Notamacropus eugenii: one gene and its partners. The protein of the gene in region 1 purifies or fractionates together with the protein of each later gene. This does not show direct contact. Links are inferred from orthologs where the notes say so. Each region holds a gene or a part of one and is shown in the gene's direction. Other genes may lie near its edges.

What was found.
Region 2: the proteins of CXXC1 (region 1) and BOD1 purify together in Homo sapiens (affinity purification with mass spectrometry; 4 studies listed by BioGRID and IntAct, counting the BioPlex papers as one, with this or other methods). This does not show direct contact. The link is inferred for Notamacropus eugenii from reciprocal best matches to the Homo sapiens genes CXXC1 and BOD1.
Region 3: the proteins of CXXC1 (region 1) and WDR82 purify together in Homo sapiens (affinity purification with western blotting; 7 studies listed by BioGRID and IntAct, with this or other methods). This does not show direct contact. The link is inferred for Notamacropus eugenii from reciprocal best matches to the Homo sapiens genes CXXC1 and WDR82.
Region 4: the proteins of CXXC1 (region 1) and SETD1B purify together in Homo sapiens (affinity purification with mass spectrometry; 11 studies listed by BioGRID and IntAct, counting the BioPlex papers as one, with this or other methods). This does not show direct contact. The link is inferred for Notamacropus eugenii from reciprocal best matches to the Homo sapiens genes CXXC1 and SETD1B.

The regions. Positions count from the first base shown.
Region 1 is NC_092879.1:101,929,964-101,936,801, forward strand, and holds the start of CXXC1 (CXXC-type zinc finger protein 1), read left to right. Parts: upstream 1-3,815; 5' UTR 3,816-3,908; coding exon 3,909-4,016; intron 4,017-4,153; exon of another isoform or gene 4,154-4,361; intron 4,362-4,373; exon of another isoform or gene 4,374-4,480; intron 4,481-4,643; coding exon 4,644-4,765; intron 4,766-5,078; coding exon 5,079-5,179; intron 5,180-5,282; coding exon 5,283-5,518; intron 5,519-5,749; coding exon 5,750-5,908; intron 5,909-6,013; coding exon 6,014-6,061; intron 6,062-6,404; coding exon 6,405-6,560; intron 6,561-6,838. Other genes in the region: synaptonemal complex central element protein 1-like, read left to right, coding at 260-377, 511-606. UniProt on the Homo sapiens protein: Transcriptional activator that exhibits a unique DNA binding specificity for CpG unmethylated motifs with a preference for CpGG.
Region 2 is NC_092872.1:405,794,179-405,801,374, reverse strand, and holds the start of BOD1 (biorientation of chromosomes in cell division protein 1), read left to right. Parts: upstream 1-4,185; 5' UTR 4,186-4,358; coding exon 4,359-4,607; intron 4,608-7,196. UniProt on the Homo sapiens protein: Required for proper chromosome biorientation through the detection or correction of syntelic attachments in mitotic spindles.
Region 3 is NC_092872.1:2,352,182-2,359,126, forward strand, and holds the start of WDR82 (WD repeat-containing protein 82), read left to right. Parts: upstream 1-3,923; 5' UTR 3,924-4,301; coding exon 4,302-4,462; intron 4,463-5,762; coding exon 5,763-5,860; intron 5,861-6,945. UniProt on the Homo sapiens protein: Regulatory component of the SET1/COMPASS complex implicated in the tethering of this complex to transcriptional start sites of active genes.
Region 4 is NC_092875.1:37,038,786-37,045,871, forward strand, and holds the start of SETD1B (histone-lysine N-methyltransferase SETD1B), read left to right. Parts: upstream 1-4,070; 5' UTR 4,071-4,195; coding exon 4,196-4,271; intron 4,272-4,610; coding exon 4,611-4,780; intron 4,781-5,194; coding exon 5,195-5,290; intron 5,291-5,988; coding exon 5,989-6,259; intron 6,260-7,086. UniProt on the Homo sapiens protein: Histone methyltransferase that catalyzes methyl group transfer from S-adenosyl-L-methionine to the epsilon-amino group of 'Lys-4' of histone H3 (H3K4) via a non-processive mechanism.

The DNA.
Region 1 (6,838 bases):
TTGTTTGTGCCCCCTCCACTCTCCCTCTGTGTGGATGCATGTCTCTCCTTTGGGGTCTGCATGTCTCTGTCTTATCTCTCAGACTTGGTCTCTGTGTTTTGCTGTCTTTCTCTGGCTCAGCCTCTGTGCCTATGTATGTCTTTTTGTGTTAGTGTTTCTGCATGTGTGTGCGTTTGTGTGTGTTTGGGTCTCTCTCTGGCCCAGCCTCCTAAGGTCCTTCCCACCCTGACCTACAGCTTTCTAACATTTCCCCTGCCAGGCTGAAGATGGAGCTGGAAGCTGGTGGTCAAGGTGGTATCACAGGGCCCAGGGGGAGCCCCACTGCGGGAGCTTCTGAAGTCGTCAGTGGTGTAGTTGCAGAGGGGGCCCTAGCGGAGGTAAGGACCCCAGAGTCGCCAGCATTGGTTACTCAGTAGCCTGGAAAAGAGAAAGGAAGGGAGACAGCCATGCATAAGGATGTTACTAGAACTTTGTTCCAAGGAGATCCTTAGCCACTTTTTTGGTCTTTAGCCTGTTGTAGAGCCCCCAACAGCCTGGGAGAAGGAACTGAATATTGACCACAGCCCAGGGAAACATCCTACTGGGCAAGCCTCAGTCTTGTCCTAGAACCTCACAGGGAGTTCACCCATTTGCACCAGGAGGGAGCTGCAGCCTGGTCTGAACCTAGCTTGGAGAGACAGTGTTTGGTCCTTTGGCCCCATCTCAACCATGGGGGACCGTCTGGTATACTCTTTGGAATAAAGAACTCTGTTCTGTTCCCTTTCTCTGGCTGTATTTCTATCCCCCATCCCCCATCCCCCATCTTGTCCTAATGACTTCCTTTTCTTCTTAGGTGGGGTTTGAGCACTCTGTGGGCCCCCATCTCCCAGATCTATATAGTTCTGTAGTATCTCTGGAGCCTCCTTGGTCCATGCCTCCTATATGCCAGGTCTGGACTCATCCTATTTTACAGTGTCTCACACTTGGACCCAGAGCTCTGGTCTAGTCTTCCCACTCTTTTCCTCCTGTAGTGGGGCTATGGCCTCCTCTTAACTCTGACCTTGCTCAAGACCCCAGGACAAAGAACTGGTATATCCAGGCAAAGTTTGAAAATACACCCCTCGGAAGTCTGGATAATGTGAAAATAAAGGATATCCATATCCATATATAGTAATATATCTATATGCATACATATATATTTTTAAAAGAAAATGACACCCCTTTATATGTTCCTGTCTACCAAGGTAATCTTGTAGCTCTTATCATACAAGACATATGCAACACAAAATAAATAATTATACATTATGACATTATGAAAAGCAATATTAAAAAGTAGCACCGTTTGCTTCCTTACTGCATCTTGTACCCTATATAGCAACTTTGCCTTCCTCTGTTTCTAACTCTGATCATAAATTCAACCTCAATAACCCTAATTTTTTATCATCTGACTTTTTATTTCACTATCAAACACAATCCCAGTCCATCCTGATTTTCCATCAGCATTCTATCCACTAATCAAACTGCCAAACTCTTCTCTAATGCCAGTCCCAATTGTCAATTCCTCAATTTTCTCTCCAAGTCCACTCTGTGCTTGGAGAGTTCCCTGCCTACTTCTTTCTCATGACCTTGAGGACTTTCTTGTCAAAGCGCTCTTTAGGTATCTGCAGGAACTTGGTAACATCAGTTGTCCACTGGATCTGACTGGAAGTGATGCCCATCTGGAAATCAGTGGGATGGGAGGGAAGGCTCAGAAGCCCTAAATTCCAATTTCTAGACAACCCTCTCCCCCAGCTTAGCTCTAAATCTTCCTCTCCTATGGTGTAGTGGGATTATACTGGGACTGAAATCCCACTAATGAATTCTAACTGATTGAGTGGACTGGAAGTTCGATCTAAATTCTAATCCTGGCTCTGTCATAACCTTAGCAAGTTAAGTCTCCTTCCTGGGCCTAAGTTTTCTCCTATCTTGGATGAGATCAGAAGCCTATTTCCTCATTTTAACTCACCCTGTTTCCCCTCCATTCCCAAGGGGCCTGGATGTTAAACCAGGTTTCCCTGGCATGGCCACTGGCCCACTTATCCCACTTGTTAAGGAAGTTTTTGATGGCAACGCAGTGGTGGCTGTTTCAGAGCATTCCCCTCAGAGCGTTCATCTCAAGTTGCACATTCCACAGCACAAGAGCGTAGCCTAGACAAGGGAGTGAACAGAGGCTCAGCAGAGCATGAGGAGGAGATGTGTGCCTAGGTCTGAGGAAGGGAACAGAAGTTGGGGACAAGGAGAGGGGAGCAGGAGCCAGAGCTTGAAGACAAGTCCCCAAGGCAAGAGGAATCTTAAAAGGAACAGAAAACAGCATGCCTGCATCTGTGAGGGAAATGGAAGCTGAGAGAGAAGGGTGTCTATACCTCAAGAAAACCCCAGGACTGAAGAAGAGGCTAAGTGTGGGGGGATCCATGAAGAGAAGCCCCACTTACCTTAGTAGGCCCTTCCAAAAGCATGGTGTGGGGAAAATCAATATATTCTTCATCACCTGAGAACATTCAGTCAGCTTCCCACTTGCTGCTGACCACCCATCTGTGAAAAAGAGAGGCCATCATCTCCTGTCTTCTCTTTTTTCTTTCTTTGTCTTCCCAGCAATTAGAAGGGTGCTTGGCACATAGTAGGTGCTTAATCAATGTTCACTGACTGGCTACCTCTCACCCAAACCATTGGAATTGCTTCTAAAGTGCTGTCACTGCTTCCAGTCTCTTCTTCCTTCAAATAGCTGCCAAAATCAGCCTCCTGATTCTTAGGTATGTCCATGGCATTAGTGATTCCTCACTGTGTAGGGAACAAAACACAAACCTGATTCCAGCACGTGAATCTCTTCAATCTCCCTTGTGCACTTTGCTAGGTACTCCTCCTCCTGATGCCCTCTAGGCATAAGCCCAGCTGTGGGCTCTTCTCTATCCTGTTTTTGTCTTGGCCTTGCCTCCTGCTGTACTTTTGCTTGGTTTGTCTCTCAATGTCAGGAGTAGAGCTCTCGTAGCAGTCCCTGTAAAAGTGGAACCCGATGCTTTAGGTAGTACCCTTTCCTTAGGGGTTCTCAGAGGCTGGTGGCGGAAGGGATTTTTGTTCATGTAATGGCTGATCAAGAAGAGATCAGTGTGGCAAGTTAGGTGGCGCTGCAGGTGGCTCTGCAGTCAGGAAGACCTCAGACACCTACTTACTGGCTGTGTGACACTGGACGAGTCATTTGGCCCTGTCGGCCTCAGTTTCGGCATCTGTAAAATGAGCTGGAGAAGGAAATGGCAAATGACTGCAGTATCTTTGCCATGAAAACCCCCAATGGGGTCACGAAGAGTTGGACATGATAGAGCAAAAGCAATAGCATGGGCTGATCTAGAGGCCCACGAAGGTCGTTCGGGCTGCCCTTCCTGCCCACTTGCCCATCAGGTCGGGCTCTTGGGGCGTAGCTGGTAACGTCTTTCACTTTCACTGCTCACTTCCCTTTGGTGGCACTTGGGCCTCAAGAACTTCGTGCGCTCGGGAAAGGGCAGGGGCGGGTTGGGTGGCGGGATCACGGCCCCAAGAGCCGGAAAAGCTCCAGGAAGGCAAAAAGCCAACCCAAGCTTCCCCCACCCCCACTCCCCCCCCCGGGGCCCAAGGCCGCCAACGCGCCTGCGTCCTAGCCCGGCCGCCGTCATGCTCCCTTCACCTCCCAGAACCCGGAACCTTGGCCCGGGCGGGCCTCCCTCCGCCCAGCAGTTCCTAGGCAGTGCGCCTGCGCGCCTCCGGGCCGCCGAGGCAAGGCAGCATTGAGCCTGCGCACGCACGGCTACGAGGCCTCGGAGGGCTGAAAGAACCGGAAGCGGAAGTGGGTCCGAGGACAACTCTCGCTCGGAGAGGCTCCCGTTGTTGTCTCGAAGGAGTCTCGAAATCCCGGCGCCGCCATGGTGAGAACGAGGGGCGGAGCCGGCCCGGGGCAATCCCGGGGGGCAGCCCGGGGGAGGAGGCTGAGCGGGTCCGGGACGAGCCCGGGGGCCTTCCTGCAGGACGAGGTGGCTGGGGGGCCCCACTTGGGTGGCTTTGGGCGCCGTCCGGGGAGGAGGGGCACCCCGGGGAGCACGGAAGGGGCGGGGGCATTCCTCAGTCTGGGGGGACATCCGCGGAGAGGGGCGGGGCGGGCAGGGAAGGAGGGACTTGGCGGGGGGGGGGGGGGGGGGGGGCGCAGCAACCATGGCCGCCGCCCGCAGCAGCCCAGGTCCTGCGATCGCCCCCCAGCAAAGAGGCTAGGAGAGGCCTCCCGGAAGGTCGTGGAGTTTAGGAACGGAGGGCCTGGAGGCCTCCCTGGAGGAGAAGGAAGGGAGGGGCAGTGACTGGGAAGCAGTTCAAGCCGCCCGAAGGTGGAGGCGGAAGGGGAAGGTCTAAGGTCACCCCGGGCGGACTCCAGGGCTGAGGAGGCGGGGGCGGGGAAGAGATTTCCGGAGAAAAATTGTAGACCTGGCTCGGGGTTCGGGACGAGGTGGGAACGTGAGACCTAGAGGAAAAGACCGAACTGAGGAGGGAAGACTGAGTCAGGGCCGAGCCTGGGCGGGGCATGGAGGAGAAGGGAGGAGGGGAGGGGTCTGGGAAGTGGGCGGGGGCAAGAAGACTGAGGGATTCCCTCTGCTTTTGTGACCTTACAGGAGAGTGAGTTTTCAGACCCAGAGCCTGGGGCCACCGGCGGGGAAGAATCTAAGTCGGACATCGGGGAGAATGCGCCCATTTACTGTGTTTGCCGGAAGCCCGATATCAACTGCTTCATGATGTGAGAACACCCGTTGTAGGGTGTAGGTGGGTGGGCTCAGTCTGGGGAGCTCTCTGGAGGAGGAGTCAGGTTTGATTGGCCATCAGGAGGGCTCCTCCAAGCAGGACCGCAGGGCTCGGCTCCCCAAAAGAGCTTTTGCACTGGGGAAAAGAGGAGCATTTATGGAGATCCTCCTTCAGAGAGCAGGTCTCAGGTTCCCATGTGTCAGACTTAACTTCCAGAGAAGCCTTGTAGCTGAATGCACTGGAAAGGGGCCCCTAGCTTTCCAAGCCTCACACACATCTCAGATTCTTTGCTTCTGTCCCTTGTGCAGTGGCTGTGACAGTTGCAATGAGTGGTTCCATGGTGACTGCATCAAGATCACAGAGAAGATGGCAAAGGCCATCCGGGAGTGGTACTGCCTGCAGTGCCGGGGTGAGTCTTGGGGGGTGGAGCCTGGGGGTTATGGGGGCCCATTTAGGGGGAATCTTGGCTAGCAACAGAGGGATCCCTCAATCTATGCCCATTTCCCGGACAGAAAAAGACCCAAAGCTGGAGATCCGATACCGGCATAAAAAACCATGCCGTGAGCGTGATGGGGAACCCGAGACTGAGCCCAGGGACGACGCGACCACCCCAAAGAGGAAGGTTGCCTCAGATCTCCTTGTAGAGACTGTGGGAAGTGGGCCCATGACCATCCCCAAGGGCTTCACCTCTCCCCACAAGGCCCCACCTCCCTCAGCCCCTGGGCCTGGACGAGAGGTATCCAACCAGGTGAGCTTGGAGAGAAGTTTGACACTTGGAAATAGAGTTGTAAAATCTAGGGCTTATACCAGGAGGAGGGAACTTTGAGTTGGAAAAGAATATGGGGTCCCAGGGTTTTATGGTATATCCTTCTTTATTGTAGGGCATTTATGATGATAAAAGATCTTCTTAGAACAGTGCTAATCCTAGGAGTGTCTCTCCCCCATGTTCTGTCCTCCCCTACTGTATTCCCCCCAACAGCAGATCAAACGGTCAGCCCGCATGTGTGGGGAGTGTGAGGCCTGCCGACGGACAGAGGACTGTGGTCACTGTGACTTCTGCCGTGACATGAAGAAGTTTGGGGGCCCCAACAAAATCCGCCAGAAGTGCCGTCTACGGCAATGCCAGCTCCGAGCCCGGGTGAGAGAGCACAAGGTGGCTCTAGAAGGTTTGGGCCTAGCTGACCCCCACCTAACCCACACCTCCCCTTTACCTCCCGCACGCTTCTCTTTTCTCTTTTTCTAGGAATCCTATAAGTATTTCCCTTCCTCGGTGAGTCTGGCATCAGCTGTGGTGAGTGTTGGGGTTAGGACTGGAAAACATTCCTCTTCTTTGGGGTACTGCCCTTCCAATAACCCCAAGTCCAGGAACCATGTTGGGGGAGGGGCAGCTTGGCCCATTTAGGGGGCAGTTGCTAGAATTGCTAATTCCTGCAGACCATTCTGTATCCCCTGTTCACTTCCCTCTTCCCCACAGTATATTAGAAGGAGCCCCAGGCAAGGATCAGGCAGCTCAGGCCCTTTCCCCTCTCTGGGCCTCCCTTCCCTCCCATTAAGAGCATTGATCTAAGGGATTGCCTCCTGGTTCTGCAATCTCCTGGGCTGCCCACCTACAGCACCCGCTGCTTCCTCCATAGCAGAAACTTCTTCGGGCACGGGAAGAACATTTCCAGATGTTAAAGGAGCCCCCAGAGGCCGTGGCCACCCCTGAAGCCCTCTCTGATGAGGATCTGCCTCTGGACCCTGAGCTCTATCAGGACTTCTGTGCTGGCGCCTTCGATGACCATACTTTGGTGAGGGGCTGGGCCCTGTTCCTTCTTGTGCAGATTAGACTGGGCCTCTGGAAAGCCCCTTCACGTAGGTCCTTTATCTGTTTTCTCTGCTTAGAACCTTGGAGTGTCTTCTCCAGCATGAGGTAGCATGAAATACGGACTGGGTGCTAGATTTGGGGTGTAAGCATGTGGGTCGGAAGTCTTGGGATCTTTAGGCAAGTTATTTCACCTGGGGCAAGTAATAAGATTGGATTTCTACAGCCTCCAAGGTCTATTCCAACTCTCAATTTAGAATTTTA
Region 2 (7,196 bases), on another chromosome or scaffold:
AGTCCAGTTATTGATTGTAAGAATGTGAGCCTAAAAAACTTGAGTACGCTAAGATCTTGGGCTAAGACCAAATGTATTTCAACCATAATAGCTCTAATTGATTCTTTTAAAAATAGAAAAGCACTACAGGAAGACATTTTGTGTAAGAGATACTCAGGCATGATTGTAGAGAAGGACAGCGTGATTTGTTGGACAAGAGATTGGGCTGGAAATTAGAAGGCTTGTGTTAAATCTCAGCTCTGGTTTTTAATTAGACTTTATATAGATCTTGGTTCTGGAGGTAGCCAGGTGGTACAGTGCCTAGAATTCAAATCCAACCACTTACTAGCTGTGTGACCCTGGGCAAGTCATTTAACATCTCTGTGCCTCACTTTCTTGATTTATAAAATGAGGGTAATAATAGCACCTCCAAGGGTGGTTGGGAGGATAAAATTACTTGGAAAATACTTTACAAACCTTAAAGTGCTATGTAAATGCTACATATTATTATCAGCTATGTAATTTGGGACATGTCTCTTAAACTCTCTGGACTTCTGTGCTTTACTAAGTAACCTGAGATCTTTCACAACAAAGTTTTAACCACATCCTGGCAGTCTATAGTCTTCATGGGTAATTGGAGTCAGGAAAACCTGGATTCAAGTTCGGCCCCTAACAAGCCATAGCTGAAGAACCTTGGGCGAGGCTCTTCGAGCCACAGGCAACTCTTCACAATGAAGTGCTAATCTTCATTTGTATGGGTACTGAAATTGATCAATAAGCATTTACTAAGAGCCTACTATGTGCCAGGCACTGGATTAAGCACCTGACACTCCCTCTACCTGTGAAATCACAGTCTGGTAAACAACAACAAAAACCAGAGGCGGAGGATTCTGGGGTTTTTTGGTTTTTTAACTGTTTGGGTTCATGGCAAATGAAAACACTAAACCAGGAGAAACCGTGTCTGATTTTTAACACAATAGTGTCACCTGGTGGTTTGTTTCCTGCATTACATTTTTACTATGTTAACTTTGAGTACCTATGGGCTTCTACTTTTTGAGGTCCTGAGTGTGTGCCAAGGCTTGGATCAACCTCCATTCTCATTTCTGTCAGTACCTGGGAGGTTGTATTCTGCATATAGAACACAACTATTCTCACAGTTCCATCAGCTCAGCACTGGGAAAGGACAATGGATTTGGAGTCAGGAGACCTGGGTTTGAATTCCAGCACTACTGCTTACTAGTTACATAACCTTGGGTAAATCCCTTTCACTCTGATGGACCACAGAGGTAGAACCCCCTTAGGTCACTGAGTCCAACCCACCTATTTTATGCATGAGGAAGCTGAGACTGAGAGAGATAAATTCTCTTGCCAAGGTCACACAAGTAGAGTCAAATCTAGGTCTTCTGACTTTAAATCTAGCACTCCTTCTACAGATGCTCTCTGCACTTCAATTTACTCACCTATAAAATGAGGGGATCTTTCAACCCCAACTGGTCTGAAAATCCCAGGATCCAATGACCTAGTCTCCCCCTCCAGTATCAGAGGGTATTTAATGAAATTGACAGCTCTCATTATGGACAGTGTCACTTGAATTCATACAATTGTTATGTCATCAAGGCTTAATGTTCCATCTCCTCTCAGGGCTGACTTAGATACTCCCCCAGCATCCCTGATTTCACTGGTATGGACCTTCATTACCTCCACTGATGTAGAATACAGTTCTTCCACACTTTGGTCTGGTCAAAAACAATTCATCCTCTTTCTGCATTTAGTCAGGCTAGTTTTTAGCTGACAGGCAGTTTGTTCCTAGCCCAAAGCTTCTCTGGATCTCTAGCCTTGTCAGAATTTACAGTCTGTTAGCACAGCCTTTGAGAACTCTGAGTTTCCTCTATAGGGAAGAATTTAGTGAAAATGACTAGAATTATTGTTTTTTCTTTTCCCTTCCCCTGGGGCCACACAACTGGAGGGTGTGATTGAGCACCAAGGATAAAGAGAATAAATATCCCTACCTCCATATGTTTGTGTGTTTATGGGTGTATACATACATCTATATATGCATATACATACATTATATGTACATGTGTATATGGCATATATAATTTATATAATATATAAACACATATTGAACTTATAACATTATGATATATTATATGCACATGTGCATGCAATGTATATGTATGTATCCACACATACACCTATAACATGTACACATATGTATTCATAGGATTATGAAATTTAAAGTTGAAAGGAACTTTTAAGATTTTGTTGTTGTTCAGTCATATCCAATTCATGACCCCATTTGGGGTTTTCTTGGCAGAGATACTGGAGTAGTTTGCCATTCCTTTTGCTCATTTTATGAGATGAGGAAACTGAGGCAAGCAGGGTTAAGTGACTTGCCCACGGTCACACTGCTAGGAAGTGTCTGAGGTCACATTTGAACTCAGGAAGATAGTCTTCTTGACTCCAGGTCTGGTGCTCTATCCACTGCACCACCTAGCTGCCCCAACTCAATGAAAACCTCCTTATTTGGGAATGGGAAATTAAAACCAGAGAAGAAAAACCCAAATACAGGAGTCAGAACTTGGACTCCAGTCTTCTTATTCTAGGGCCAGTGAGTTTTCCACTACACCAGTCTACCATCATAGCAACTTAAGAAATGGAAAAGAACATAGAGGTTGTTTCTACCTCCCAACCCATATAGGAATCCTCTGTACAGTGTCTCTCTTAGGCAGTAATCAGATAGGGAGGGAATTCTTATCTCTGAAAGCAGCACATCCCATTGTTAAACTGATTAAAAAGAAAGTTCTTATGGAACCTTATGATTTAGAGCTAGAAGGGAACTTAGCTATCATCTCAGAGTCCACCCCTCATTTTACAGATGAGGAAACTAAAGAGAAGTTGAATAATTTGCTCAAGGTTGCACAGATAATAATTTAGCAGTCAGGATTAAAATTCAGGTCTTCGGACACTATGTCCATTGCTGGTTCTACTACAATTTGGCTTGAGGAGCAAAAGGGAGGCAAATTATGAGGTTCCTGCCCATACCTGACCTGTGAGGAGATAGGGGCGGCCCATTGGAATTCCTAAATAGAAGTTCAGGTGGTGATCACAGAGAGATGGTAGTAGAGTGCTACAACAGTGGCTATCATACTGCTGTTATTGTTGGTCAGTCATTTTTCGGTCATGTTTGACTCCTCATGATCCCAGTTGAGTTTTTCTTGGCAAAGATACTTGGCAAAGGGGTTAGCCCTTTCCTTCTCCAGCTCATTTTACAGATGAAGAAACTGAGGCAATAAGGATTAAATGACTCATCCAGGGTCACACAGGTTAGTCAGATTTGAACTCAGGGAAGTGAATCTTCCTGACTTTGGGCCTGCCACTCTATCTATTTCACCACCTAGCTACCCTGGTCATAGTACTATGGATGGTCACTTCTGAAGTTAGAAGACTTTGGTTCAAATCACATCTGTGTGACCATGGGCAAGTCTTCTCTGGTCTCTCAGCTTCTTTATCTGTAAGAGGAGAGCTGGACTATATGGGTCATGAAGTAACATGTGTAAAGCACTTTGCAAGCTTAAAGTATATATCTATATATTACATATACAATGTAGGATATAATTATATGTAATATGTATTATAATAATAAAAGCTAGTGCGTATCTATACACACACATACATATACACACACTAGCTTTTATTATTATTGTGCTGACTCATGAATCCATGAACCATAGTGCTCATGCATGGGGTTTTCTTGGCAAAGATACTGGAGTTGTCTGTCATTTCTTTCTCCAGGCAAACAGGGTTAAGTGACTTGCCCAAGGTCACGGCTAGTATGTGGTCTGAGGTCTTCCTGACTTCAGGCCCAGCGCTCTCTCCACTGAGCCACCTAGCTGCCCCTAGCTATTTTATTAGATGGCCTCTAACGTTCCTTCTAGCTCTAAATTTACGAATCTGGGATTTGGCACCATCGTTTGCTAACCTGGGATAGAATTCTCAAGCACAAGCGAAGAAAGGCCTTAGAACTACAATTCCCTGTTCGACCATGGGAAGGCGCGATTTCTGTGACTCTTCCCTGGTGCCGCCATTCCCTCATGGGAGTTGTAGTTTACGCAGGCGGAGGTTTTTCCCATATTCAGGCGAGTCCTCCCCACGCAAGGACTCCCAGCCCCAGAAAGCATAGTGACCGTGGTGTGCTCAGCGTGAAACTTGAGACACGTGATTCACGTTCGTGGCGGCAGCGGAGGCCGAGGTTCCAGCGGGATCCGCCGCCTTGTTTCAAGGCTGCCTGGCCGAGGCCCAGGCCGGGGCCGTGAGTGGCCGCCCCCTCAGGCCCCGGGCGAGAACCGCCGGCGGGGCCCTGGGCCGAGGGTGTGGCCATGGCGGACAGCGGCGGAGGGAGCGCGGGGGCTAGCGCGGGCGGCGGCGGGGGGGGCGGGGCCGGCGGCTCCGGCCAGGCCTCGGCGGCTTCGGCCTCGGGCTCGGGGGGCGCAGGGGCCGGCGTCACCAACCCCGCGTCGCTGCCTCCCGGGGACTCCCAGCTCATCGCGCTCATAGTGGAGCAGCTCAAGAGCCGCGGCCTGTTCGACGGCTTCCGCAGGGACTGCCTCGCCGACGTGGACACCAAGGTAGCGGCGGCCGAGAAGCCCGGCGTTCAGACCCCTGCCCCCTGTGCCATTTCACCTCCTCGGGCCTCGCTTTTCTCAGCTGTAGAATGGGGAAGAGAATGGCCGTAGGACCTCCCGGGTCACTGTTGTCGTATGAAAATGGGCCTAGCAGTGTCCGGTATTACTGTTCCCTGCATCCCCTCGGGGCCTCACGTTCCTGCTGTGTGTGTAAAACGACGGGGTAACCCTTTCTTTCACATCGTATATTCAAAAACACGATCCCGAGAATGGGTCCATAGGCATCAACACGTAGGTCCATGACGAAAAAATAATTTTAAAAAAAAGGTAACTCTTGGAATAAAAAATCTCTGAACATCTCTAGCAACTCAATCTGCATCTATCGTTTCCAGCTCTAATTCTTAGGTGGCTGCTGTAATCTCTTTTAGCTTTAACCCCTATGTAACCTCCCAGCAGCAGAACCTCCTGGTCTGGGGTGGGGGGGCATTTGTACCCACAGTGTTTCCTTGCTGGGTCGACGATGTTTAAGCAGAATGATATTTTTCATCGGTAAGTCTGGGGGAAAAAAAGTCTGTAGCTCTTGATTCGTCAATTTCCATTTCATTAACAGATTAAACATTAAGCGCTGCTACATGTTTGGCAGGGGGAGTTTTTGTATCAGAACAAAACTTGATACAAAGTTTCTATTGACTAAAAATCTGCTAAGTCTATTGAAGTTACTTTCAACATGTATGCAGAAAAGTTGAGTGTAAATTACATAAAAAGTAAATTAAGGATGTCGGCACCCGCTACTGTGAGTGTAACAGGATCAGCCTTGTGGAGCACTTGAACTTTGAAGAAAATGGAAGTGAAGGAGTATGCCCCCGTATGGGATACAGCCTGTGTACAATGGTGAAGTTGGGAGATTGAATGTGTACAGAATAGCAAAATAGGCCAGTTGGCCTACAGAGTAGAGTGTGTGAAAATTATGTGTAATAAACTTGAAAAAACCAGTAGAGGGCTTTACCTACCAAATGACGGAATTTATATTTTATCCTAGAGATAAGGAGGTGCTGGAATTTGTTTAGTGAGAGAATAACATGGCCATTTTATCCTATAAGAAAATCTGTTTGGCCTCTGTGTGGAGGATAAACTGGAGAGAGGAGAGACTGGAAACAGGAAGACCAAAGGGCTATTGAAATAGTCCAGGAGAGAGTTATTGAGAGCCCAAACTAGGATTGTGGCTCTATAAGTAGAGGTAGGGTGGTAAATGTGATGTATAGGTGATGTAAAATTGGCAGGATGGCCACTGATTTGGATAATAAGGGGAGAGGGAGGAATTTTGAGTGACTGAGATTTCAAACCTGGGTACCTAGAAGAATGGTGGTATCCTCATGAGAAATAAAGCTCAGAAGAGGTGAGATTTTAGCAGAGCAGATAAGTTCTTTCTTGGACAAGTTGGATTTAAGATGACTATAAAACACCCAGTTGGGGATGCCCTAGTTGCAGTTGGTTATATAGAACTGAAGCTCAAAGGAAAAATTGAGTCTGGGTATCTAAATCTGGGAGTCATCAACCTTTCTGTGGCCTTTGATGCTGTTGATGACCCTCTTAATGTTCTCTTCACATTTTTGAGACAGTGCTCTCTCCTGGATCTTTGGTCTGAATGCTCCTCCATCCCACTTACTGGATCTTCATCAAAGCCATACCTACTAACCCCTAAGGCTCTGTCCTGGGCCCTTTTCTCCATCTATACTATTTAACTTGGTGATCTCATCAGCTCCTGAAGTTTTAGTTAACTCTGTGTGGATAATGCTCAGATCTTCTTGTCTAGCTCTTACTTTTCCATGACCCCATTCTTGAGTCACTGACTGCCTGTTGGACTTCTTAAACCAAGTGTCCTGTAGACATCTTGAACTCAATATGTCCAAATATGATGAACTCATTATTTTTCCTCCCAAATTTCCCCCATCTTCCTAACTTAACTATTATTGTCACCACCTAGGGCACCACCATCCACTTAGCCAACCCAGATTTGCAACCTAGGTGTCATACTCAACTCCTTACTCACAGTTATACCCCCTCTCCCCCATTCAATTAGCTGTCAAGTCCTATCATTTCTGCTTTTGGAATAGCTATATTATGCCTCCCTTCTCTCCTCAGACTCCGTAACCTCCTTCCTGTTCTTCAAAGCAGATACTTTATCGCCTAGCTCTTAGTGTTATCAGTGGCTATTCTGCATTCCTGGAACTCTTGCCCTCTTCATTTCTACCTCCTAGCTTCTCTGGCTTCCTTCAAGAGAAGCCTTTCCCAGTTTTCCTTAGTCTTCTGAGATTACCAGTTATACAATTTTTCTTGCATATCATCTTATTTGTAGATAGCTATTCGCATGTTGTCTCTGTGAGTTCCCTGGGAGTAAGAGCTGTTTTTTTGCCTTTCTTGGCACATAACAGGCTCTTAATAAATACTTGTTGACTGACTGACCTTCATTTTGGGGAAGGGCCCACACCATCTATTCCTTATTCTCTCGTTTTCACCACTGTGACTGACTTATGTTCTCCCTTTGTGCCTGTAGATCCCTTCTCCCAGTGATGATTTTTTTCCTGGAATCTC
Region 3 (6,945 bases), on another chromosome or scaffold:
CCATGGTTTATAGCTTCAAGAAATTATGACTTTCTTGGCCTTAATAGTGAAATTTTAGTAGCTAAAGGTAAAAGCTAAGAAGGTAAAAAGCTAACGATAAAGTATAAGAATTCCTTAAGAGGGAAGCATATCCAACAACCATTTATCTGCTAAGGGTCCAGTCGATTCAAGGCATTACATATTATTGCACATTTTACCTCAATAATTTTCAAACCAGAAACTTTAGAGATTTCTCTCTCATCAGTTTTTAGCTTTGTTTCTTAATGCTCAACTTTCCCTCTTTCCCTTTGGAAACAGACCTTTAAAATATATCCTTTCTATTACACCCGACAAAGTAAAGATACCAGAGTTCTTCTATCAGAAGGTATCAGAGTTCTCCTCTTCTGGTTTTCCTCTTTCTCTTTTGGCTGCTCCTCTATCTCTTTCACTAGCACTAGTTCACTGTCCTCCTCCAATTTACTAAGTGTGTGTATTCACCAAGACTTCAGCTGAAGCCCTCCTTTCCCTTTATAATACACTCTCACAAAGATCTCAATTACTTCCAAGGACTCTTTCAACATATGCTTTCAGCCATAAGCTCTTTCCGCTCTGGTCCTGTAGATCTAATTGCCCAAAGGACATTTCCAACTCCTCTCTGCACCTTAAATTCAAAAAGTCCCAAACTGAAGTCAACATCTTCCCCGTTTCCCTATTTCTCTTAATGGTGCTACTATCCATCCTCCTAGTCACCCACACTCAAAACATTGAATTAATCATCAGCTGTTCCTTCCCCCCTGCCTCCCACATCCGAACAGTATTTATGTTTTTGCAGCATATCCTTTCCCTTTCTCTTAATTTCCATGGCCACTTAGCTTGATAATCTTTTAGTCATCCTGTGCACTGTACTCTCATGCCTTATCTCCTCAGTTTCCCAGTCTCATTCATTCTGCCTTTTACATCCATCCTTTCCTGTCCATGAACAACACCGTAATGCAGGTGCTCATCACCTCCCAACTGGATTTTGTAATAGTTTATACATGCCTTCCCTGTCTGCAGTCTCTCCCCTCTCCAATCTGTCCTCCACAGGGGAGTATATTGCCAAATCGTTATTTATAAAGTACAGGTCTGACCACACCATCCCCTTACTCGGGAAGTAAGTGACTTTCTGTTGCCTCTAGGATAAGATACATACTCCTCTTTCTGGCATTTAAGATCCTTTAAAGAACGGCTGGACTTATTAATGGTTTGATGTCAATGTGGAAGGAAGTTTCCAGGAGAGTACTCCAGGGACTTGTGTTTGATTCTGGGTTATTTAACAGAGAATAATTTCGATTAAGGCATTATATGCCTATATGCTTATCATACTTGCACATGGACACAAAATTGACCAGACAGAAAAAACTCTGATCCTTTTTCCATATGAAGCTTCTTTAAATACTTGAAGAGTTATTCCCCTAGTACCCCCCCCCAGTTTTCCCTTCTCCAGGTTAAACAATCCCTTCAGTCAAACTTTATATGGCATGCTCTCCTGTTCCTTCATCATCTTGACTGCCCTGCTCTGAAAGAGTTTCACCTCGTCTATGTCTTTCCTAAAATATTATGCCCACAACTGAAGAGTGTAATCCAGAAGTCCAGATGTGGTTAGATAGGAAGAGTACGTAGTCCCATTCACCGGCTCATTCTGAAAACTCTCCATCTCTTACTATAGCCTGAGATAGCATTCGCTGTTAGCTACAGAACTGAGATTGAATCCTAGCTCTGCCAACTACTACCTAGGTGACTGAGCAAATCCCTATGCCTCAGTTTCTTCCTCTATGAACTAAGGGAACTGGGCTATATTACTTCTCATGTCCCTTCCAGCTTTAAGCTATGATCCTACGATAATGAACTTTCTATTTGTCCTTGTTAAATCCAGTTTGTATCTGCTTGGCCATTGCTGAGAACCGTTGAGATTACTTTGGATACTTACGCATGCATGTATCCAAATGACAGGTTTGTATCAATGTTGCACTGAACAAATTGTATCTCTAGACTGATAAAAACGTTAACCAGAATGCGGCCAAGGACGCGTTTCTGCGGGCACACTGCCATCAACCTTCCTGCAGGAAGACCCTGACCTACTGATGGGTGGCAGACTTTGTCAGAGGCCTTGCTGAGACTGCAGTGCCCTAGGAGAAGCAACAGGATGCCAGGTGAAGAGCAAAGGACTTCCAGGGCTGAGAGATGCGGCCCTGATCACCCAGAGGGAGAGGAGATTATAAATCTAAGTATGTATAAATAAATAATACATAATTTATGACTTTCACTACATACATAAAGTTTGTAAGTCATCATAAAGGATAAGACAGATAGCTGAAAAGCTTCTAAATGGCGTTACTGTGGGAGGGTGAGAAGGGAGGTGATCCTACCAGGGGAAAACCTTCTATCCCAATTTCTCCGATAAGGGTTCAGCGTCCAAGACACCTAAGCGATCAATACCTCTCCCTAAGGCTAAAGGCTGTGTCTCAGTGGGTAAGTGACAAAGGGCACCAGCGGCTCTCAGAAGGATGCAGAACGTTTACAGCCACATGCCAATGCTCCAGACCACTGGCACTAAGAGGAGTGGATGCCAGACAGCCTGAGGCTGTACAGACAGACACGAGTGCCCAGGACGGATGTCAGGCACACTGACACGTGGCTGGCACAGACACCTGTGCCCGGGGAACCAGAGGCTCCCTCGCTGAGGGCACCCCAAGGGGCCGTCAGGAAGAACGAGCCCCCACACCCCAGGACACGCAGCCCTTCTTGTGGTCACCAAGGGCACAGCACTGCCCGGTAAGAAGCCCCAGCAGAGCCGTCTACGCCGACGGGGGCAGGGAAGCAGAGCCAGGACAACAACACGCACGGTCCCGGCAGTTATGGAAAGGAAACAACACATGCAAAGAAACAAGGGCACACGGGACACGGGAGAAGGCCCCTCCCCCGCCCCCACCTCCCATGGCGGCGGGCGGCCCGAGCGTTAGCACCCCGCTTTTCTTAGACTGCTCCACTGTACTGATCAGGGGTGCTTTCCCCCCATGTGAAAGTACTATTTGTCATAAGGCACGGCTCTCTGGAATGGGGCAGGGCCTGGGGCACAGAACATGCCAATAAGAAGCTCCTGGGGTCCGGCTTGTGCCACTCCCTGCCCAGCTGACCTGGCAAAGCCCCCTCTCTAGCGCCCGCTTCAGAGAGAGAGAGAGAGAGAGAGAGAGAGAGAGAGAGAGAGAGAGAGAGAGAGAGAGAGAGAGAGAGAGAGAGAGAGAGAGAGAGAGAGAGAGAGAGAGAGAGTGTGCGCGCGCGCGTGTGTGTGCCCAGCAGGGGGCCTGGCACGCCGTGGCGCTCCGCCAGCTGACCTTGGGTAAGTCACTTCACTGAGCGGAAGAATTACCCGGCACGCCTTGCTTCCCAGCCCCCTGAGGCACGCCGTGGCCGAGGGGACGGAATTAGGAGGTAAATACAAGGAACAGGCCGGCGGGGCAATTCCTCCCCAAGAGGGGCAGGGGTTCCTTCATTGTTCTGCTTGGAGAAGGCAATTTCCCATAGTCCTTCGGGGCAGCAATAAACAACCCTCCCATAGCCCTTTGCAGGAATGCCAAGCGTGTAGGAAATCCTAGAAAACCGATTTCACCCACGTGCGCGGGGCCCTTGGCACAGCGGGGGGAGGGGCAGGCAGCCGGAGCTGGCCCTTGGGCCCCATCCCTTCAGTGGGCACCCAGGGCTGGGAGGAGGAGCCCCCGGGAGGGCATCTCCTCCCCTCCCCCCCTCCCCCCCTCCCCTCCTCCCCTCCCCCCCTCCCGCGGCGCTAGGGGGCGGGCCTACCCGAGACCGACACCGAGGCCCCACGGAAGTCGGCTCCCGGGACGGTGACGTCACCGCCCCGCCCCCGCCCTTCGACGATCCCGGCAGGCGCCGCGGCGCATCGGTTCCCCCTGCTCTCCCCGCCGCCCCCCGCCCGCGCGAGCCCTCCCCCTGCCTGATTCCTTTCCCACAGTGCACTACGCCGGCGGCGCTGGTTCCGCGCCCCCGCGCCCCCTGCTTCTGCCTCTCGCCCCAAGATGGCGGACACAATGAGCCGGAGCCGCGCCGGCTTGCCCTGAGGAGCCCGGAGAAGCAGCCTCGCGGCCCAGGCCGAGGGACGACGCCGCGGACGCCGAGGAGCGAGCCGAGGAGCGGACAGCGAGCCGGCCGGCCCGTGTGCCCGGACGCCGCCGCGCCTCCCCGGGGCCCCGCCCCGGCCTGCCCCGGCCCTCGCGGCCGCCCTCCCGCCGCCGCCCCGGCTCCCCGCCCCGGGCCCCGGCGCCATGAAGCTGACGGACATCGTGCTGCGGAGCTTCCGCGTGGCCAAGGTGTTCCGGGAGAACTCGGACAAGATCAACTGCTTCGACTTCAGCCCCAACGGCGAGACGGTCATCTCGAGCAGCGACGACGACTCCATCGTGCTGTACGACTGCCAGGAGGGCAAGTGAGTGCGGCCTCCCCCCCGCCCTGCCCTCCCCTCCCGCGCGCGGCCCCCGGCGTGCGGCGCGGACACGCGCGCTTCGGCCCACCCGCTCCCACGGGGAGGGCCCCAAGTGCGGGAGAGGGAACAAAAGAGCCGCGCGTCCCGGGGTAGAGGGGGGGGCGCGGGGCGAGGGACCGGGCCAAGGTCACCCGTCCTGCGGCCCCTGTTGGCGGCCCCCGAGCGAGGAGCGGCGCGTGGGGAGCGCGGGGAGGACGGGGCGCTCCCCGTGCGGGACGGCCCCGTGCGGGACGGCCCCGGGTCCGAGCTCTCCCGCTTGCGTTTGTGGGAGCGAGGCCGTGACTTCTGGGCGCCTTCTGGGCAGGGGCAGACGCCCGCCCGCCGGCCACCCGTGCCCCGGCCCGTGACCTCGAGTGAACCCCGGGGCTTCTCTGCCGCCCGTGGGCGTCTGGGGCTCGGCGTGGAATTTAAACTTTCCCCGCGGGTTTCCGCCCTGTAGCAGCCGCGTCTCCTCTGTGGAGCCCGGGGAAGGGGTCTGGGCTCCCCGGAACCGAGGCGCGAAGGACGGCTTTGTCCCGAGACGTGGGTCTGACACGTCCCCGCAGGGCAGAGGCCCCCCCCCCCCCGCGGTGCCCCCCGCGAGGCTCAGGAGCTGTGTCCGAGAGGGGCGCCCCCGGGGCGGGGTTGGGGGGCAGCCCCGCTCCCCCTAGGCTCCCCCCTGGACGCTGCAGGACCCCGAATTCCTGATCTGAAGACGCTGTGATGCCCAGAGTGGGCGTCCCGGGGCCCACGCGGGGCTGGTGTCGTGGGGGCCGGGACCCGCGCGGGAAGCCAGCCCTCAGCCCGGTCCGGCCGGGCGCGGAGAGCGCCGCTCCCACGCGTGTCAGGCTGCCGCGGCCCCTCGGGCTCCCCGGGGTCCCAGCCCGACCCGGCCGGTGCCGCCTCTCGGAAGTGTGGGCCGGACCTCCGGGCGTGCCCCCCTTGGTCAGGCTCAGCGGGCCGGACTCGGGGCGGAACCGAGCCTGGAGCCCCGGAGCCCCGGAGCCGGCGTGCTGAGGAGCCATCCGCCCGGCCGGGTCACCGGGCCGGTGTCAGCGTGCGGTGCTGACACCCCGAAACCTGGGTAAGGGGCGGGCCGAGGGGCCGCGCCCCCTGAAAGGAGGGAGCTGCGGGGCCTGCTGGCTCGGGGCTCGGGTGGCGTCGCCGGGCAGGCTTGTTTGGGCCGCGCCCCCTCCCCGCCCTCCCGCCGAGCCGGCCGCGCGTGACGTCCCGTCCCGGGGCTCTTCCCTCCGTGTCTCCGCAGGCCCAAGAGGACGCTGTACAGTAAGAAGTACGGGGTGGACCTCATCCGCTACACGCACGCGGCCAACACCGTCGTGTACAGCTCCAACAAGATAGACGGTGAGTGAGCGCCTGCGGCGGGTCCTCGCGTGAAGTGGGTCAGAGAGGCCCGGACCGGAGGAGTCCGAGATAGGGTCATTTCAGACGGGATGAGGAGCTGCCTGACGCCCAGGGCAGGCGGGAGAGGGCGCGTCCAGGGCAGTTGATGCGCACGCGGTAACGGCGCTTGGTGTGCCTGCCACCGTGTCCTTAACGTGGGGGAACTTCCGTCGGAAGGACGGCTGGGCCTTTCTTGGCGCCGTGTCCTTTTTCTTAGGGGGACTTAAATTGTGCCTGAATTTGATCCTGTTTGATCGCAGTTGAAGCTGTAGACTCGAGTCCTCTGGGATTGGGCGGTTTGTCTTAACTGATGATGAAGCTTCTGAGGGTTTTCTGTAACGGGCAGGCTGGTCTCAGTTCAGCTTTCTCACTTCGTGTAGGTTTTCCCCATTACAATGACCGACTAGTATTTGGTCGTCCTAACTATTTCTGCTTCTAGCCAGTCTGCTGGTTAGCTCCAGCGCGTCACTGAATGAGAGTTGGTGAAATTGCTGTCTTAGTCATACCTGTAAATCTGCTTCCTCCTGAGGGGGTGGGAGTGTCATTTTTAGGAGACTTTTCTGTATATAAATTGATCTAGTGATCTACGGTAGTCTTCTAAATACGTAAATAGTGTAGCCAGTGCGGTGGAGCTAATAACTAGGATTCACTTCACAGCAAATATGTTGATTGCAAGCTAAAAAAAGTTGGAAGTTTTTCCTCTTGGGCTTTTTTTTCTCCTGATTTGAAAATCCTCCTTATATGCAATGAGGAGACATGGGCGTAAAACTTCTTATCTAGGCTCCAAGTTAAAGAAGATACCTTGCTGGTTCTGTACTTTAAGGATGCTGCCTTTCTTGTCACCCTAATTCCCCCCTGTTCTTCATGAAGAGCTCCAGCCTCAACCCGTTTCCTTCTGCCTGATTCCAGGCTGAGGTAGTAGTTTGTACAGTTTGAGGGTCTATGATACCACCCGGTACAGGAGATAACTGTACAGGCCACTGCCTTGCCAGGGACAGAGCGCTGCCACCAACAATGGTTTGTAGCAGAGCATGAGGACGGTCTTC
Region 4 (7,086 bases), on another chromosome or scaffold:
CCCTGCAAGCTGGTGTTCGGGAGAAGATAAAAGCATCTAAAACCTAGACCTATGCAAAAAGAAAGAAAGGAAGGAGAAAAAACAACCACACACAAAAAAACAACCCCCAACCCTAAGCCCACTCCAACTGAGCCCCAAAGTAGGATTTACCCAGAGCCAAGGCATGCGTGGACAGGCCCTGCAGCTCAGCGAAGCCACCTCCTGCTCCAGGACTCGCAGCTGCAACAGGAGAGGAAGAGAGAGAAAGAGAGCAAGCTCGAAGCGGCCATTAGCAAGCAGCCCAACCCAGCCTAGCTCGGGCCAGCTCGGCCGGGCCAGGCGTCCCCCTGCCCAGAAACCCCGGCCCTAGCCCGCCCGCCCCACCCTGGGCGCGCTCTCGGAACGCAGCGGGATGGGAGAGAGGGAGGAGGAAACGAGCTGGGGGAGAGAACAACCAGGCAGGACTGCAGCAGCCCGGGAAAGAAGGACTGCTGCGTCATGGCGCCAAAATGGACGCCGTGCCCCTGGTCCTTCCCTGCGCTGCCCGAGGCGGCCCGGGGTCCGGGCTGCCCCGGCCAGGAAGGGTGGGAGGAGGATCGAAGAAGGTTCCCCCCCCCCCCCAAGAGCTTCCAGCGGGAGGGAAAGCCCCTAAATTTGGCAAACTGAGCCCCCCTGGAGGGTCGGATTAAAACCCAACCCAAACCAGTTTTCCTTGGTTTTCCTCAAACTGCCACATCGTGGATTACAATGGGGAGAAACCTGGGTGGGTGATGGAGAAGAGCGGCCGAGGAGCCCACCCCTTCACCTCACCAGCAACGGGGGTGGTCAAGGGTGTGGAGGTTGCAGAGAGGCTGCTGTCCCTCCGAAGGCAGGAAAGGAGTCACCCTAAACATCCCCTCAGTCCCAAAGAGAAATGCACCAAGTCCTTTTGGTAGGAAGACCCCCAGCCCCAGCTGCATCCCTCCCATCCCAAAGTGTCTCTATCTAGCCTCTCTCCACTGTCCATATTGTCTGCCCCTCCTCGCCAACTACAACCGACAAGCTTGGAAACCCAGGCAGGAAACCCTCGGCTCTATGAACTCTGCAGCGGGGCCTGCTCTAGCCGGTGTGGATCCAAGGGCTTTTAAAAGGCACGTTTTTACTTACCGGTGCTCAGCTTGGCGCAATGGAGTCTGGAAGGTGAACTTGGGCGTTGGTTTGGTGATGTTATTAGTAAGAAAAAAAACCCACCATTTTGTTGGAGTTTGTTTGATTATTATTATGGGGGGGGAGAAAGAAGGTCACTACCTTTTTGTCAATTACAGTGTCATGTCATTTCATCGCCTTCGAATTCAGCAAACTTTTCCCAGGGTTCGGCCAAAGGCTTGCTGGCTTCGCCGGCAGGGCTGGTTAGGGCAAGGGTATTAAGAGTCATTTCAGAGACAAAAGGTAAAAAAACAGACGCTTCAAACAAAACAGGAGACAAAGGAGAGTTAGCCACTTCGCACCCCGGTCACCCCAACAACTAAAGCAAAGACTGCCCAGTTTAATAATGCCGTTTGCCAGCCACTGCTTAGGGCTTCTTTGAAGGGGTTTCAGTCTAGTTTCCTGTGACCAGTTCAGTCTCTGCAGAAGAGTGGGGCTTTCTTCTCTCTTCCCTCCCCCCCACCCCCAAGACTGGAGAAACCAGAGCTGTCGCCCTCAAAACAGAGGTTGCTTAAAGAAAATCGACCAACTAATTGGGAATGAAGCTAGCTAGCATTTACTGTAGAGAAAACATTTCTTAAAACCTAAAGCTATCTCTCATCGTCTAAAGGCATGAGATTTGGTTGTGAAATTCGACAAGAAGACAAAAACAGACATGCAGAGATGAAGGCTCAGAAATTAGGACATTTAGGTAACATTAACATGAACACTGAACTGAAATAAGGACAGAATGGATTGGGTACTTACAACAGAGAAGAATTTAAAAGAACATAGCATAATGGTTTACATTTTTTGGCTTAATACTGCCAGAAGTCATTATTTCCTAAAACTCTACATTTAAAACATTACCTTGTTAAGAGAGAAGGAGAGGAGTTAATAAGATGGCCAGGTATAAGTGTTTAATAGAGGAAGTTATATATATATATTTTAAAAAATTTATTGTTCAGTCAAGAGGATACAGATTAGACAGCTCAAGCCCCGTCCCCACGCCCCCAGCCAAAAAAAAAAAAAGGAAAAAAGTAAATAAATATGTTATTTACTTAAGGTTTTTTGGATTCAAAATTTTTAAACTGCTGACATTAATGGTGGGCTATGACCTAGTTATACAAGACAAAGATGGATTCCAGGTCATAAAGAGAAAAAAGCAAAATCCAAAATCATTTTAAAAAATGAAGTCTTCCTTCTTCCATCGGTCCTTTAGCATTGGTGACCAACATTGGACAAAACACGGGACAATCCTGCACTGGATGGTGGAGTCAAAGGAAAAGCGTTCCCCCTTTTGGAACAAAGGAAAACCCACTTGGCCATTTAATTCCATGGCAGAAAAATGGCTCCCTGAATGTTGGCCTCTCCTTGGCTTGTCTGATGACGGATGTTTGGAGATCCGCGTCTAATAACTCAAGCCCCATAGAAGCTTCGCGCTGATTGGCCCAAGGGCCCTGGCGCCCTGAATCAGCCAATTACCGCACCCCGGCCCAATTACAAACCCCCAAAATACCCCCCAATATGAGACGAACCACAGTGAAGCTGAAGCAAGACAGGCAACCTCCTCTTCAGCCAGGAGGAGGCAGGGAGAGAGCAAGGAAGGAAGGAGGGGAAGGGGGAAAAAAAAATACCCATTGCTCCCTCCCCCACCTCCCCTGTAATAGTGTAACCGAGAAGCACAGGGTGCTTTGGGGTAGAAGCGACCAAATGGAAGCTGCCCGCTGATTGGTCGCCGCCGGTCCCAGGACCTTTAATAAAGAAAAAAAAATGAATGTAGAAAGGGACTCACTAGAGTTTGGGGAAAGTATGGGCGGGGGGGGGGGGGTAGGAATAGATTTGACGTGCCCCCGACAAATGCCAAAGAAAAAGCGGGGGTGGGAGAAAAAAGTCCTTCTTCCAAAAGGGGGAGGGGGAGAAGAGAGAAGGAAAGAAAAGCACGCCGAGGCCGTTCTGCATCCTTCCAGCAAAGCCCGGTGATTGCAGCGTAACGCTAATTTGGAAATCCTGGTCTCTGCTCCGAGGTTGCTGGGGGTGCAGGGGCAGACAAGGAGGACGGAGAGGGAGACCAAGGAGAGGAAGGGGGATCCCTCGATCGCAGCTCTAGGGGATCCCGCGCCGAGGCTCCCCCACTCCTCCCTCGACTTTAAACACACACATACACATACACCCCCCCCCCCCAAAGTCAGGCGGTCCCACCTCCAGTCCATCTTGTTTCTAAAACAGTGTAGGAAGCCGAAGGTAAACGCTGGCAGCCCGGACACTGTGGGCCCGGGGGAAACCGATTTCTGGAGAGGGAGGAGGAAGGGAACCCCCTCCCCCTTTCCCAAATCCTCCCTCCCAGTCAAAATCCCGGTCCTCCTCCAGAGATAATAAAATGCATTAATTAAAAGCCCGTCCCCAGGGCCTCCCCTCACCCCCCAGCCCAGGCCCTAGGGCCTCCGCCCCAGGCTGGGGGAGAGTAGGTTGGGGGGTGGCCTTGGCTGGGGGGGGGGTGTTGCAGCGCAGCTGCTGCGAGCGCCAGGGGGAGAGGAGAGTGGTGGAGGAGGAGGAGGAGGAGGAGGAAGGAGGAGGAGGGTGAGAGATTGGGTCGGGCTCCATAGCGGTGTATTGTGGGATGTGCGGGGACTGGGAGCCGAGCCGCTGCCGCCAGCCGCCTCCTCCAGCAGCGGCAGCAGCAGCAGCCGCCGCCGCCGCCGCCGCCGCCGCCGCCGCCGCAGCAGCAGCAGCCGCCTCAGCTAGCCCCCGGTCCGGCCGCCCCAGCCTCGGCTCCCGCGGGGAACACCATGTACAGGCTGGTCGCGCAGGGAGGCCGGCGCCCGGCGGGGATGTAAGCAGGGGCTCCCTAGTTCCCCCTCCCCCCTTCCTCTCCCCTCCCTCCTTCCCCTCCCCTCCCCTTCCCTCCTTCTCTCCCTCCCCCCTCCCCGGGAGAGGCCAGCGGAGGCCGCGGCGGAGCCAGGCTGGGGGGGTGGCTGGGAGGAGGAGGAGCGGGAGCGGGCTGGTGGCGGCGGCGGCCCGCGACCCCCCAGCCCCGAGCCCCAGCGGCACCATGGCCTTCCGAGGGATCCGGGCCGGGGGGCGAGGGAGCAGCCACGCCGAAGATCATGGCAAAAAGCAGAGTTCAAGTGAGCTCCCCCCTCCTGCCCCGGCCGCCGCCACCGCCGCTCATCTCGGGCCGCCGCCGCCGCCACTGCCTGCTCCCCAGCCCGGGATCGCTCCCGTCCGCCCGGGCAAGGGGGCAGCGGGCAGCCTGGTGGCTGGCCGGCTGGCTGCCTGGCGGGCGGGCGGGCGGCGGGTTGGCTGCTCCGCTCTCGTTTTCACAAAAATAATCACCCGGTTTTTTGGAAACGGGGAAGGCTCGGGTGGGAGGAGGGTGGAGGCTGGCGGGGGGGGGGGCTATTTTCTTTTTTAATTTTTGAAAGCCGCTGCGGAGGAGACACAACTTGGTGTGGGTCGTTTTTCAGGTTGGGTTAACGGCATGGAGAGCAGTAGCCACCACCACCACCAGCAGCCTGGACCGTCGGGGGAAAAGAGAAACCACCATTGGAGAAGTTACAAGTTGATTATTGACCCCGAGCTAAAGAAGGGACAGCATAAGCTCTACCGTTACGATGGACAGCATTTCAGCAAGGCTGTGAGTGGAGCGGGGGGTGTCTTTCCTTCCTTGCTTGCTGAAACGTACATAGCACCCCCTTTCTTCCTCCTGCTTCTTCCAGGGCCCAAAGACCAAGAGGATCTGCCGGGACCTCCCCCCTCCCCTTTCGATGGGAAACGTCAGGGGGGAACCCTCGGTAGCTTCCCCCCCCAACCCCCCAGACAGGGCTCAACTGTCAGGTTCCCAGCCCACCTCCTTCAGGTCTGGCCGGGTTTGTCGTCCCCCCCCCCCCCCTTTCTTTCAGCGCCTGACTTTTGACACATGGGGAAGGAGGGAGCATGGAGGGGAAGGGGCTGCTTCCTCTATCCACATTTCCCTGGAGTTGTGTGTTCCCATCCCCACCCCCCTTCAATCTCAGAACTCTATTTTTTCTTTCTCTCCCCCCCACCCCAGACTCAGTGTTTTCTCTCGGTGAAAATCGAGGATCCGAGAGTCAGAAGGACATGGACAAAAACCAAGGAGTTGGAACTTCGTGTCCCCAAATTCAAGGTAGTGACCCCTCTCCCTAGCCAGGGAACTTGGGACTTATGGGGGGGAATTACCCCGAGTTCTAAAATACCGTTGGGAAGGACATGGCCCCGGTTCCCGCCTGTCTGTGTGTGTGTGTATGAGGAGTAGTGGGGGGGGGGGCCAAACTGGTGTTTAGAGCAGCCCGGCTTCTGATGTCAACATTGCAACAACCATCCAGATTTTAGACTCCGGAGGGAGGGAGGGAGGCTGTGGATACTTTGTCCCACTGGCCTGGAAGGGGGTGTGTTTCCAGAGACATGGGGGGGTTCAGCTCTTGAGGTAGGGGGTGTCACTGGCACCGGGGAACACTCCCCCCTCAGGGCTGCCCTTCCTTTCGATTTAAAGGGGAGAAGGCCCCTGAGCAGGGGAGGGGGCATACGTCAGGGAAGCAGGGGGAGGGGAAGGAGAGAGAAACTGTTTCATATCCCCCCTTTCCTTCCGAACTCGAGGACTTCCACGTTCCAAACGATTTAATCCTCAGCTTTCTGTCCCCGCCCGCGTGCATTTAAAAAAAATATGCATATATATTTATTTATTTTCTAACTCCTTAAGGTTTGGGACAGGGGGCCACTGTGGCGGCATGACGCTTGCCCGGATCAGCCTTCCTCTTGAATTTTAATTTTTTTTCCAATCTCGATTACCCCTTCTTCCCTCAAATTTCACCCTCCCTCCCCCAGATCGATGAGTTCTATGTGGGACCGGTGCCTCCCAAGCAGGTGACTTTTGCCAAACTGAATGACAACATCAGGGAAAACTTCCTGACCGACATGTGCAAGAAATATGGGGAGGTGGAGGAAGTGGAGATCCTTTACAACCCCAAGAACAAGAAACATTTGGGCATTGCCAAGGTGGTCTTTGCCACCGTAAAGGGGGCTCGAGAGGCTGTGCAGCATTTACACAACACCTCGGTCATGGGCAACATCATTCACGTGGAGCTGGATACTAAAGGTGGGTAGGTCCCGAAGGGGCTGGGGGAGAGGTGAGGGGTGGGACTAGCCAGAAGCAGCTCATCTAGATCGTTCAGCTGTCCTCAAACTGCCTCCCCTTTCCCCTCTTCTCACTTAGGGAATGTGGGGTTGGAGCTCAATTTTTTCCCCTCTGAAACCTCCCCTTTTTTGTCCCCCCCCAGAATCACGTGGAGCCCGATGTGTTGTCTGTTGCTAGGAGACAAGCTGTAATTTACAAAATGCTCCAGTCCTTGGCCACCCCCCCCCCCCACCGGGACCACTCAGAAAATTAGCCCCAGTTGGATTTACCCTGTTCCCTCAGGGCCTCCCCTCCGTAGGCCCCCCCCCCCAACCTTTGTGTCTTGGTTTCAAATGGTCCCCTGTGCTATGGTGGCCCCCTTTTGTTTACTGGGGTGTTTGTCTCTTTTGATATGGGGATGATTTTACGTGCTGGGAGTGACTAAGGGGGCCTTCTGTAAATAAAGTGATGGAATGAATTCGTGGTCTCTCCTGGAAAGGGCACCAAACTATCCCATCTCCCGGTAGCCAACGGGGGCAGCTATTTCATTGATAAATAGTGAATGATGAAGCCGAGCTGCTTCACAATCCTGCACAGGAGTTGACAACTGTGTGTTTCTTTCCTCACTCCCTCTTAAAGGGATAGCGGCACTTCCTCTCTGCAGGAATCCCTCCACGGTGTGAAAAAAAAAAAAAACATGCCTGTGCTGTTTGCCTCTAAAAACAGGAAAGAGGACAAACTGGGGGCGGGGGATATGAGTTGCTTGTTTGCCCCCATTCTTTCTCCTGGATACTGATGGCTATTCTCTG